Linked DNA regions of Danio rerio. The protein of the gene in region 2 interacts with the protein of the main gene of each other region in a biochemical or structural test. Links are inferred from orthologs where the notes say so. Each region holds a gene or a part of one and is shown on either strand. Other genes may lie near its edges.

Evidence for each region.
Region 1: of the proteins of crk (region 2) and abl2, one has a biochemical effect on the other in vitro, tested with the Homo sapiens proteins (2 studies listed by BioGRID and IntAct, with this or other methods). The link is inferred for Danio rerio from reciprocal best matches to the Homo sapiens genes CRK and ABL2.

What each region holds. Positions count from the first base shown.
Region 1 is NC_133183.1:16,721,332-16,727,600, reverse strand, and holds the start of abl2 (tyrosine-protein kinase ABL2), read right to left. Parts: upstream 3,432-6,269; coding exon 3,332-3,431; intron 1,894-3,331; coding exon 1,729-1,893; intron 1-1,728. UniProt on the Homo sapiens protein: Non-receptor tyrosine-protein kinase that plays an ABL1-overlapping role in key processes linked to cell growth and survival such as cytoskeleton remodeling in response to extracellular stimuli, cell motility and adhesion and receptor endocytosis.
Region 2 is NC_133190.1:27,216,125-27,222,548, reverse strand, and holds the start of crk (adapter molecule crk), read right to left. Parts: upstream 4,309-6,424; 5' UTR 4,006-4,308; coding exon 3,786-4,005; intron 2,689-3,785; coding exon 2,111-2,688; intron 1-2,110. UniProt on the Homo sapiens protein: Involved in cell branching and adhesion mediated by BCAR1-CRK-RAPGEF1 signaling and activation of RAP1.

The sequences.
Region 1 (6,269 bases), on a different chromosome or scaffold from region 2:
TCAGTGCTCTGAGGCAGAGGAGGGGCCGACGGTATCACCCGCAGCTTCTTGAGAAGAGTAGAAACGATACAGTATGGGCACATGAGAATCTATTAAAATCTCAAGTAACACCCAAAAAAGTCGCTAGATTTGTCGCTAGTCGCTCTTTTGAAAATTTGTTACTTAGAGGGTCTAAAAAGTCGCTAAACAAAGCGACAAATTTGCTAAGCTGGCAACACTGCTTGAATGTGCAACTTTAGTAGCTAAATCCTGCCTCCATACAACAAGACTGCCTTTTAGCTCCGCCCACTGATTAACACATATAAATAAATAATGAGAAACCTCTTAACTACATTCTCTGAAGACAGCAACACACTGTGCAGTGCCATGTTGCAGAAAATATAAAATAGAGAACAAACGGTTAAAGCAGTAGTCTTCAATCTCGGTCCTGGAGGGCCGGTGTTCTAGAGAGTTTAGCTCCAACCCTAATCAAACACACCTGAACCAGCTAATTACACTCCAACTAGATATAGTAGAAACTTCCTGGCAGGTGTGTTGAAGCAAGTTGGAGCTAAACTTTGCAGGACACCGGCCCTCTAGAACTGAGTTTGGACACCCATGGGTTAAAGTGTACAATGATACCAAGCCAATGACTGTAAAAAATATGGACGACGCGACAGCCCTTTTTCCCATTGAACGCCTTGAGGGCAAAACGCCTGCTTGACGGGCACAAACTGTCGCAAAAGACTGCTGAAATTGGAGCCAGACATGCGCAGAAGGATTGTCTGATGGAGCCAGAGGAGGAGCCGCGAAAATGAGCGGAGTCGAGCTTCCAACCAAACGCTTTATGTAAAATCAACTACGCCCCCCGAACTTCTCAGCATGCGTTTGCTGTCATATCAACACAAATGGATGTAATAACGTTAACAAATATGAGGGTTTTATATATTTAATCGCGCCAGCTCCAGGCCGCAGCGCATAACTTACTCGCGGCGTCGCGGGCTGATTCCGGCTCGCATGCGGCAGCGCCTGCTCGCTCGGCCGCCGCATCTGGCTCGATTGACTCGGGCTGGAATTGGGTAGTAAGTCCAGGCATCCGGAGTAGGTCCAGCAGAGGTAACATTAGTCAGTCTGAGCTCTAAGAGATAAGTCTCCGGCAGGCGAGAATCTAGCCGGAACTGTGTTTTGCTATCTGGGTGGTTAGGCGTGTATCAGCAAACTAATAAAGCCCGAAAAAAGCCCTGAACTTAGCGAATAAACAGTGTTCCACCAGGATCATGTATGTCAGAAACTATAGTTTACTGCTGAACTCATTTTGTCATGGTAAAATAACACAGAAATCGAATAATAACATTTCAGTCTACTTCAGTCTCCTGCCGAAGCTCAGACGCCGCGCTTTGAGAAACTGTCAATCACCGCTGTCAATCACGATGACACACCCAGCATTAAATTACTGCTAAAAACAAACTGTTTACAAAAATGAAGATCTGCACCTATTTCAGCACAATAACCAGTGCCTTAATCGACCAGAACTATCTTTCGGGACATTTTATTGCAAGTGTAATATTTTTTTTTATTTGGGCTCAAGTCTCCTTCATTAACACGGAGGAGGCGGGCTTTATGACTTGTACTGCAGCCAGCCCCCAGGGGGCGATCTAACGGCCGAAACCTTCACTCAAACGTAGGCTTGCGGCACACTTGTACCAACCACAATTTATTGTGCAACTACTCGTCTCCTTCACATCATACCTTTCGTGATGCTTAGTGTGTTGTCACCACTGGCAACAAAGTCGTAAAGTGCCACAAAAAGGTTGGGGTCACTTTCAGCAGCACCCAGCAGATTCTCCTTGGAGCTCCAGCGCACCGCCTCCGTCAGCGCCGTCGAGTCCAGTCCAAACGGCCTGTGCAGGGCTTCTGGCAGAAGAGAGACAGAGAAAAAAACACAGCAGATGAGAAACTGAAAACACAAGCGTCTGCCAATAAAGCAGAAGATCTCAGATGAGAAGAGGCCTCTGGGAGGGGCAGAATGAGTCTACAGGAGGTGGGAGGGAGGGGTTTCCGGAAAGGAGGAGTCGATAAACAAGTGAACACCAAGGTGAGAGGAGAGAAGACATGTGATAAAACCGAAACTAGCTGACGCAAAATGAAGGTGATTCAAAATGATACCACTTTGCTCTTGACGTCACACCGACTTTACAATGGGCTCTTTTTCAAAACTGCAATTAATAATACAAATATAATAAATAAAATCTGGCTTCTCTGGATTAATTGGGTATGGTTTAATATTTGTTTTATTCTGTAAAAGTCTGATAACATGTACACATGAACATCACCTATACACTATATAACTACAGGTTAACTATGTTTATATATAACATTAGCTGCTAAAGCTATTAGTTACTTGTTAATTAGTTAAAGTTATGAAGTTACGGTAACTAATAACCTAAACCTTTTTTTTTTTATTGTAATGCAATTATTTTATAAAGCTGCTTTAAACAATAATTTTTGTGACAAGAGCTATTTAAATAAACTTGACTTTCGCTTGACTGATTTCTTACAAATTTCGACAAATAGAAATGTCATTTAGAACATTCAAGCAGAATAATATTTTTTTCATCAAATGCTCATTTCTTCTGAAGTTAAACATTGGTATTGTGTTGTCTAAAATGAATATATACCATAAAACATAGACACCTTGTTTGGTCCTTAAATGAAATTCCTTACAGAATTATCATTCATTCATTCATTTTCTTGTCAGCTTAGTCCCTTTATTAATCCAGGGTCGCCACAGCGGAATGAACCGCCAACTTATCCAGCAAGTTTTTACGCAGCGGATGCCCTTCCAGCCGCAACCCATCTCTGGGAAACATCCACACACACACTCACACACACACTCATACACTACGGACAATTTAGCCTACCCAATTCACCTGTACCGCATGTCTTTGGACTGTGGGGGAAACCGGAGCACCCTGAGGAAACCCATGCAAAGGCAGGGAGAACATGCAAACTCCACACAGAAACGGCAACTGAGCTGAGGTTCGAACCAGCGACCTTCTTGCTGTGAGGCGACAGCACTACCTACTGCGCCACTGCCTCGCCCCCTTACAGAATTATGTTTTACTCAAATACATAAATCCAGAGAGCAGATCCAAATCCAAAGGTGAAATTTCTCTGAAATATTTCCTAGCTAAATATTAAATTCAGCTGAATTAACATGTCTACAAACTTCAGACGCATAAAAGCAAATAAATCCTGGGAATGGCAGAAGCTTCCACATTGTCCACACAAAAACCAACAAATAGACGTCCTTGAACCTGAAATCCTCCACAAATCCTCAGAAAAGCTCTACCTGCGAGGCAATAGTGGTCATCCTGTGTGCTGGGTAGTTTGGTCAGCCTGACCCACTCTTCCTCAAAACTGCTGCTGGACGGAAGGGTCCTCAATGTCATAATCTAGCGGCGCTAGACTAATGTCTAATCTCACATGGAACAAAACACAGACCCGATGTGTTGAGGATTCTCCTTTCATCTGGGAGAATTGGACTCTTATGCTAGTTTGTAAGCAGGGGAGGAGCGTCAAGCAGCTTTGAGGTTGGAAAAATGGTGTGGGAGAGTCTGTCTCCACGCCTTGAGCATGCCTGTGTCTGCTGGTCTTCCTCTTCAGCTGTCAACCAGCCACACACACACACGCGCATATACACAGCATGTCTGGGCAGCTGCCCCGTTCCTTAGGGGAAAATTGTGGCAGGACTAAACGTGGGATGAGACAGAAGAGCATCAGAAACTGACTTTAATGATTATTAGAGAACAAACTCTGTTTTTGAGATTGGGCTAGATTAGATCTTTTAAAAACTGGATGAAATCAAACAGTCTTGTCATGGAATTTTAGGATATGATTACCATGCCTAATCCTGTGGAATTTGCAGGATGATTAAGAGAATACCGTGGTATTAAAATTCCTATTTCAAATGCTAAATGCCTGGCATGAGCATCAGCCAGAATATTCATCCTCAACTTGCATCACAAATCCAACAGCAACAAAAGGTTCATCATGACACATCATGACCAATACAAGAGTCAGCTAGTGGACAACTAATGTTTTCAACTTTCTACTCAAATAACCCTTAAAAATGCATCTCATTCTTTACAGAAAAAATATACACTACCGGTCAAAAGTTTGGGGACATTTTTTTATCATAAATTATTTAATAATTTACATTACATTATTCTGTTCATCAAGGCGGCGTTTAATAATTGTAAAAAAATGTTAAATACCTATGTATTAAATATTTAATTATTACTTACTGTATGTAGTTTCAAATGAAAGTTTTACTCCAGTCATTATTACTTTTATTACTATTACCATTAATAATAATAACAACAACAACAACAACAACAACAACAACAACAATAATAATAATAATAATAATTAATATTAGAGTTATTTCTGAATGATCGTGTGACTGAAGCTGAAAATTCATCTTTAAAATCACTGGAATAAATGATTAAATTAAATGATAACATTTCACAATGTTACAATTTGTACTGTATTTTTGATTAAATAAACGCAGCCTTGGTGAGCAGGAGAACCTTATTTTAAAACATTTAAAAAATGTAACTTTTGACCCCAAACTTTTGACCAGTATTGTATATATGTTATAACAACTTTAAAAAGTACAAATTGTCGGCACTGGCAAAACATTTCAAAACATTGAAACTACATTTTCAATTCTGATACTATTTCACAAATATACAGTTTTGCTGTATTACTGTACCTTGATGAACCTAATAGGTTTGTAATTGCGCTAATTTATTGTGCTACTAAAAATAAAATAAGCACTTCATAATTAAAAGCATTAACATTTTAAATTTAAGTAACAGTAGCTTTGTTTCCATTCACCTATTTTCATGTGCATTTTGGATATGTGCATAGAAAAACGGTCGATGGAAATGGCAAGATGCACATAGATTTTGAAAATGCGCAAAACTAAGTAGGATAAAATTTTATTCGATAAGATGCGTATAAACTACGAAGGAAAGACTTTTACAGAACAAATTCCAGTATGCACATTTAAAAAGTCATGTGATTTTGTTCTAAGAGATCATGTGATGATAAAAATGTGTGTTAATGGACAAACCAGCAAGCTGAGCACGTTGGAAAACATCTGAAATGTTGTTTTGGGCATTCATTGACGCCTTAACCATCAGTATTAGTGTTATTATATTAATAATGATCTCCAGAATTATCAAGAGCACCTTTGCTCCGCGTTTCATGAATTTAAACACCACCACGTCACGTGTTCATTGAGTGTTGGCATTGTATTCTGAGGCGCAAGTCATATATTAAATAAAGATTCACGCAGCTTTTCCTAATGCAGCAAATTCAGTTTTTACCTTTGATAATTAGCACCAGTTAATCAGGAAGTGACCATTTTGTTCTCTTTGACTCACTGGATGAAAACGCTGCTTTATTTATACATCTTTTATGCCATATTCCTGTTTGCACATACATTTAATTTGCATCTTTGGATGGAAACAAGATAAAACATTAAATTATTAAAGTTATGAGTCTTAATGACTTGGGGAAAAAACTTTTATAAGCACATCTGCTCTTAAAAGCAGCAATAATAGTGTTTTAGGATTGTGTCTTATGTAACCGCTGACTATGAAACATGTCCAAGCAGTTTCAGTCAACATGTGGTAATTGCACACAGCTACCAGTTAAAATGGACTAGTTAACCTAAAAACATTCTCACAAACAAAACAACGAGGTCTGTGAGGATGGTCACTTCAAATTAAACTCAAAACAATCAGTATGCATACAAGACGCAACATAGCCAGGACGACACAAAGACTGGTCTTCTGCCAAGACTTACACAACACAAGAAACCTGCAAGAACACGCAGTAGAGACACTCAAGGCCTGTGTGGCAAACCTCACTACACCACACACACACAGATAGTTACACATAACCCTACCTTTATTGCTGACTAGCATACAGTGCTTTCCAGTCCTGGCCAGTTGATTAATCCACAATTCCCAGTACATGATCCCAGTCTCAGTACAAGGATTAACAGCAAATCACTATAGCACCAAATCCTCAAGTTCGGAGTTGAATTCACACTAATGCAGTGAGAAAAATCAGACAAGCTCCTTTTGGTGGAATCATCGGTCGAGTCTCCAGCGTGGCTCCAAACTCAGAGTTTCCAACCCTGCAGCCGGAATGTTAGCCTGACTTGATTGTGGGCCTCCATGCCAACTGCCCTGAGTAAGAAATATCCACATGTG
Region 2 (6,424 bases):
TTTAGCAAAAGCTGCAGCTGTTATACAGATGTTGTCAGGGAAGCTCTGTTCTGTGATCAGTAGTAAATCTCCATTCCAAGGCCAGAGGGTGCTCTCGTGTGGAAATTAAAAATGTTAAAGAAGAAACCCAATTGAATCCCTAAAGTCGCCTTTCCACTGCACAAGACATTTGGACATGACTGTCGGAATATGCCCCCTTGTGGCAGTCGCACAGAATTTTCTGTTTTGTCATGCACCATGAGAGAGAAGCTGTTCTCGCAGTGTCTGAAAAAGCGTTTTTATTTTCCGTGCGTTCACCATGGTTGAATGAATGAATACTAGAAAATCATAGACCGCTAAAAATTTTGAATAAATGAAAAAAACTAGTATTTCTCATCTTGCGCACTCGAACCTGCTTGGACAACACTGGAATTCATCACATCCGGTCGGCCGGTCGCATACGAAGATGATTGAAACGCCATGCAGCTCTGGGCTACTCTCCATTGGAAATGATTGACTTCCGGTCTGTCACAGGTCGTGTGCAGTGGAAAGGCGGCATAAAGCGGTTGCAGAATAAATAGGAGATTTAAAGAAAAAACTCAAAAAAATTGATTCAATGTTACGATTGATTGATTCATTGAAAGATTCAATGTCCTTGACATTTTTTCTTTGAAAACACACAGCTACAACAATGTGGTGTAATTGAGTTGTAATTTTTCTGATAATGAAGTACATAAAAATGCAAGAATACAACGAAATCTTATGCATGCTTTACTGTGCATTTACACCGAAAGCTGGGAGAGCATCAAAGTAGCCCGAGGTCATTCACTTTCAATGAGAGCTGGTGGCGATAAGCATAGAGGAGCAGCGTGTTTTCGTTGACGTCGAGGAATGTTTAAATCAAGTCAACTTTACTGCAATAAGCTATGACACGGTTCGAGGGCAAGCAATCAGAATGTAGAAGTTCACCGCTTGAGATGAGTCCAGAGAACACAGTCCTGTAAACTTTGATTCCGACCACAGTTGTTCCCAAGGGTTTTAGTATTGCAGTTGCAATGTTTTTTTTACAGGGACTTAAATACAAATTTTTTTTTTTAAAGTTACTGATGTGCATTAATTAATTTTATTTTATTTCGTACGGGAAATGCATGCTAACTAACGACAGTACAAAACCGTACTGCTGCTTCAGAATATTTCAGACATTTGGACACATATTGGATAAGTGGAGGAAAGCCACTGCACATACAACAACTGGATCTTCTGTAGTTAAATGAATTTACTAAAAAGCTGCGCAACATTTTCTTACTAAAATACACATTTTTATGTGGGAACGTAACTAATTTGCTGATATGCTGCAACGGCTCCTTTAAATACGGGGTTAATGTATCGATTTTTGACGCTCTCGCCGCTGGAACTGTGAAAGCCAGAGAGAACTCTGATGCTCTTGCGCCTTTGGTGTGAACACAAAGTTATTGAACAGAAATAGCCACATTATCTCAAAGACAAATTGGAAGTTAAAACATGTTAAATGTGGTATCTTTATTTGATTTTAGATGTAGCTGCATTTACCAAACAGATCATGAACTATGAGTAACTAGTAAATGGTGCTCCATTTGAAAGCTGGAGATATACTACTGACCACAGAGCTGGCTTTTACTCACAAAACGACGTGCATGAACATTGTGTTTAAATAATTGTGCAGCTCCAGTTTATATGAGCTTATAATCTTTTAAATAAGCATTTTTTTTCTTTCAAAAACTTAACACTTTGCTTCAGAAAATATTAAATAACCCACTGAGCAGTATGAATGACTTATAACACATTAATGTGCTTTTTTGAAGCAAACATTGTGTACATTTACTTGCAATTCAAAGCTAAGTCACATTAGTGTTTGTCAGGAATAGGACATATAGTAGTCCACATTTAAAGTAGATCAAATAAAGTTCTGACAATCATGGCAAGAATGGATGTTGTTAAATAGGACTATTTTAGTACAACTTAAGATGGAAGGTTTTGATCCACTTCAAATGCTGACTACTGGATACATCTAGAATAACTTGAAGGTTCATAAATGATGCAATATTTTCATTTTTATATTTATTAATATCTCAGAAAAGTTTACATTTGTTACCTCCAAAGCAAGAGCTGTCTTATCATAGGCATTGGGGACTCTCTTCTGAATCGCCCTGGCATAAACTGGGCCATTCTGTAGATTGGGTAAGGATGTGGGCTGGGCGTATTGGCCCGGTTCACCAAGCAGAGGTGGAGACTGAGTGCTGTGGCCGTCAGAGTTGCCGTGAGCACCGGACCCACTGACTGATACGCCAGGTGCACCTGATGTCGGTGAGGCAGGTCGGTACTTCTCCACATAGGGCACAGGGATCATGCCAACACGGCCTTCTGAATTCTGAGCATTCCACCATTGCTCCTCTGGCTTCTCCAGCACTCGAAGAACATCACCCTTTCGAAATGGAAGGTCCTCGTCGTCGTTGCCGGGAAAGTCGAAGAGAGCTCTGACGTACTCCTCTTCTAGCCTCGGAGGAGCTCCTCCTGTCCCCGCATTGACGCTGATGAAAGACGAGTGCTTGGATTTGCTAATGGGCTCAATGAGAGTGGTGGTGTCCAGGTAGTGGATTTTGTAGAACTCCAACAGGGCAGGTAAGGCATCAAATTCCTGATCTCCAATCCGGAACCGAGGAGGAGCAAGCCCTGCGGGATGACATTATGAGATGATGGATGGATAATCAAGATCTGCTTAAATTTAAAGGGGTAGCTCAGCAAAAAATTCAATTTTTTCACAATTACTCATCATAATGTTAACACGAAAAAAAGTTACTGAACATAGGAATTTGGTAGGCATTTTATTTCTAATATGGAGGTGTAAATGGCTACTTAATTACAACATTCTTCAAAATATCTTCTTTTGTGTTCAACAGAAAAGAGAAACTAATATAGGTTTAGAACTTTTATCGGGGTGTACATTTAAACTGAACTCTCTCTAATCCATGAAAATCTGATAAGTGTTGCAAAAACTACATAGTATAACAATGTAACATTTTATGGGTTCAACCTATGGGAAAAGCAGCAAAAAAGATTGGAAATTAAATATTGCTGATCATTTCTGCAAACAAAAAAAGTGAGTTTATGTTATAAGTGATTGACATGACCTATAATAATGCGTGTAATTCAAATGAATGACAGACACATAACTAATAAGATTGTATTTGTTATATAAAAAGTTGATAAGGTGAGACATGTATGTCGGAGTAAGAATGTAATGAAGCAGCGGTTTTAAAATAAGGGTGAAACTGAAATAAACGAGCATTTAGTCAAGATAAATATGCACAAATTAATATAAACAAACAAATAAACAAACCAAGAACACAAAATTATAAGACACGATTCAAACGAAGCAAAATGTAAGTAGATAAAATAAAGATACTTCAAAGAATCTGCTAACGTGTGAACAATTGAACAACTATGTTAAATAATGACACATATTGCAACTAAACGTTTCCTATATTATATTATAAAACGAATTTGTATACAATTTTCACATAACAAATCTGGCATCATACACGAAAGCATACAAATCATTTTACACCCGAGAATGATATTTGGGGCCCGTAGTGTACAAGACCGAACCCCTGGTTACACAGCACCCCAGAATGACGCGAGATTTTAGACTGAATATGCACAACTATTCGTAGTATAGAAGTTTCATCGAGCTGCTAAGCGCTTTGCTAAAGCAGTATTTATCCGTCCTGTCGTTAATAGTATTTAAATACATTTGTTCAAACGCTTACCTGGTCCTGACTGGCGATTGCTGCTGATGCTGTTTATTATGTAATGAGAGACTTTGGAGTTCTCCGACACAGACAGCACGTAGTCCCCGGGAATAGTGATCGAGTCCCGCACCAGGAACACTCCATGCCTCTGCCCTTGGAGCAGCGAAACCGCCTCTTGCCGGCTTAATCTCCCCCAATACCAGCTCCCTCGGTCCTCCGAATCAAAATTTCCGGCCATGACTAGCGCTAGAAAAAAGCCCAGGCTTCACAGGCCTTCCCTTCGCCTCTCCTTATCCGCAAGCAGCGTTCAACTCATGCAAAAACTTTACCGCGTTCCGTTGTTGAACACGTTTCGAATACGCGCAGCATTCGCACACTTTTCAACGCTTTTTGGCCCAATCGATTAACAAAACAATTGACGTCGGTATTCCAACGTGCATGGGACGCAAAAACCGCGGCTATTCACCCAGAACTTCTGATAATTGTCCAGTGTAAACCAAAACGTACATTGGAAGTTGTCACAAGGAAGTTCAAATATTTCAAATGGCGGACAAGGGAAACAATTTTTGACCTTATTTCCCGGAAGTGATGCAATAGCCGCCGACGCGGATGGTGTCTGTTGGTGGTCATATTGGTGCGGTCAATATTGAAAGTAAGGCCTTATCTTGTATCATTATGGAGTTTCAATCTTTTTTTAACACCAACCGTTTTTTTTATTTTTAATTTATGTAATCGTATTTCGGAATTGTTCATATGAACACAATTATAACTTCTGAATTTACATTAGTTATACTGATCAATTTGCATCGCATTAATCTTTGTATTAACCCAAATTCCGCTAAACATAACAGTTTTGTTAAATTCTAGTGAGAGGTTCAAGTGGCTGGTCCAAACAGGTTGTTAACCAGTCCAAGCGGGCTGACCCCGAAATTACCTGAGCAAACAAACATAGTGTAAGTGGTCTAACAGTTAGTCTACTAAATTTAACAAATTAGACATCCCTTTAAAACATAAGTTAAATATGATTTTCATCAACCATATTCGCTAATTTATTTAAAGGTCGAAAGTGCTGTAAATTATTACAAAAAAAAAAAAAAACGGAAGTGCGTAAACACTGTCCTTTACAAGCGAGTCCACAAAATTAGCAACCACTAGATGTCGACATCGATTACTAATAGTTTGTAGTCTTTCTACCAGTCTCACCCAGTTACAATTCAGCTCTCAAATGGTCTAATCAAACATATTGACGACCAACATTATTCGTCGCGTAACGCATAAATGAAGTGTATATTTGTTAAAGGTTTATTGGTTTTGATACCAACAACAGTCAAATACATTTTTATTTGTTTACAAATAATCATACACATATTGCTGTTCCGGTTTGTCATTCCTTGCATTTCCCTTGGTTCATTAATCATTGTGGGAGTACAGAAATACTGACCAAGTCATTGTTCACAGCTCTTCAGTGCACTTTTATCGATATATATTCCGTAATGGCACAACTTGACTAAAAGATATGGCTTTGAAACACAGCAGGAGATTTTGAGGCTACCTGTTGACCATGAAATGACATGATAAATTGAAACATATTGGTCACCTTTACAAAGGCTACTAAACCATTCATGTAGGCTAATAAACCGTAATTTGAAGATGGAGCTTAGAAAAACACTGATCATATAAGCCATAGTTCTCAAACTGGAATCCTGGATGGCCACCACTCTGCATAGTTTTGCTCCAACCCTAATCAAACACAGCTGATTCAACCAATCAAGGTGTTCAAGACTACCAGTGACTATGAAGCAGGTGTGAGTTGGAGGTGGATAAAGCTAAACTATGCAGAGCTGTGGCCCTCCAGAATTGAGTTTGAGACTACTGCTATAAGCTATTATGATGATGTTAACGCACTATAGTATTTTCACTTAAGTGAATTCAAAATAATGGGTAATTAATTAAGACAAATCTAATTTTAAAATGTCTAATTTTCATGAAGACAAATCTAATCAATACACTGTAATTTACAGGCATATTTGAACTATTTTGAATTGCGTATATGAATAATGTGAAATTTTAAGTAGGCACTAAATATAGGTATATACTAAACACTTTATCATTTTATTATCAGTGGATAAATAGAAATGAAATCTTAATATCATTTAGAGGTTAAAGGATCTATTCTAACAAACAGAGAAATCTCACATCTCTTTAAAATCCATGTCCAGCAGCAACAACAGAATATCAGTATTACAAACCAATGCGTAGCCAAACAACAATTCCATGCAGTGAGTCTTTTCTCTTTGGCTTCAGTCCTGCTGCGTTTCCCAACAATCATGTTGTTCTTGGGCCAACACTGAAAAAAGATTTTGGTTTTCCACTGTATAAATTAGGGGCACTTAATACAAGGATCTACGTCCCATCCACCTGATACTTGGGACATGCATATTCACTGGACTGAATAAAATTGAAGTTGTTTTCCAATGCTAGAGAGAATGTGATGCTTGTGCCTGTCAGATGCATAGATGTACACACCGATTCACAGCTCCATTCTGCTTGAATCCAACATGTTAAAGTGCCCCTGTTTTGCTTTTTCACATTTTAAATTTCATGTAATGTGTGATCAGTTTTTTGCAATTAAAGGGTCTAAATTAATATGATAAAAC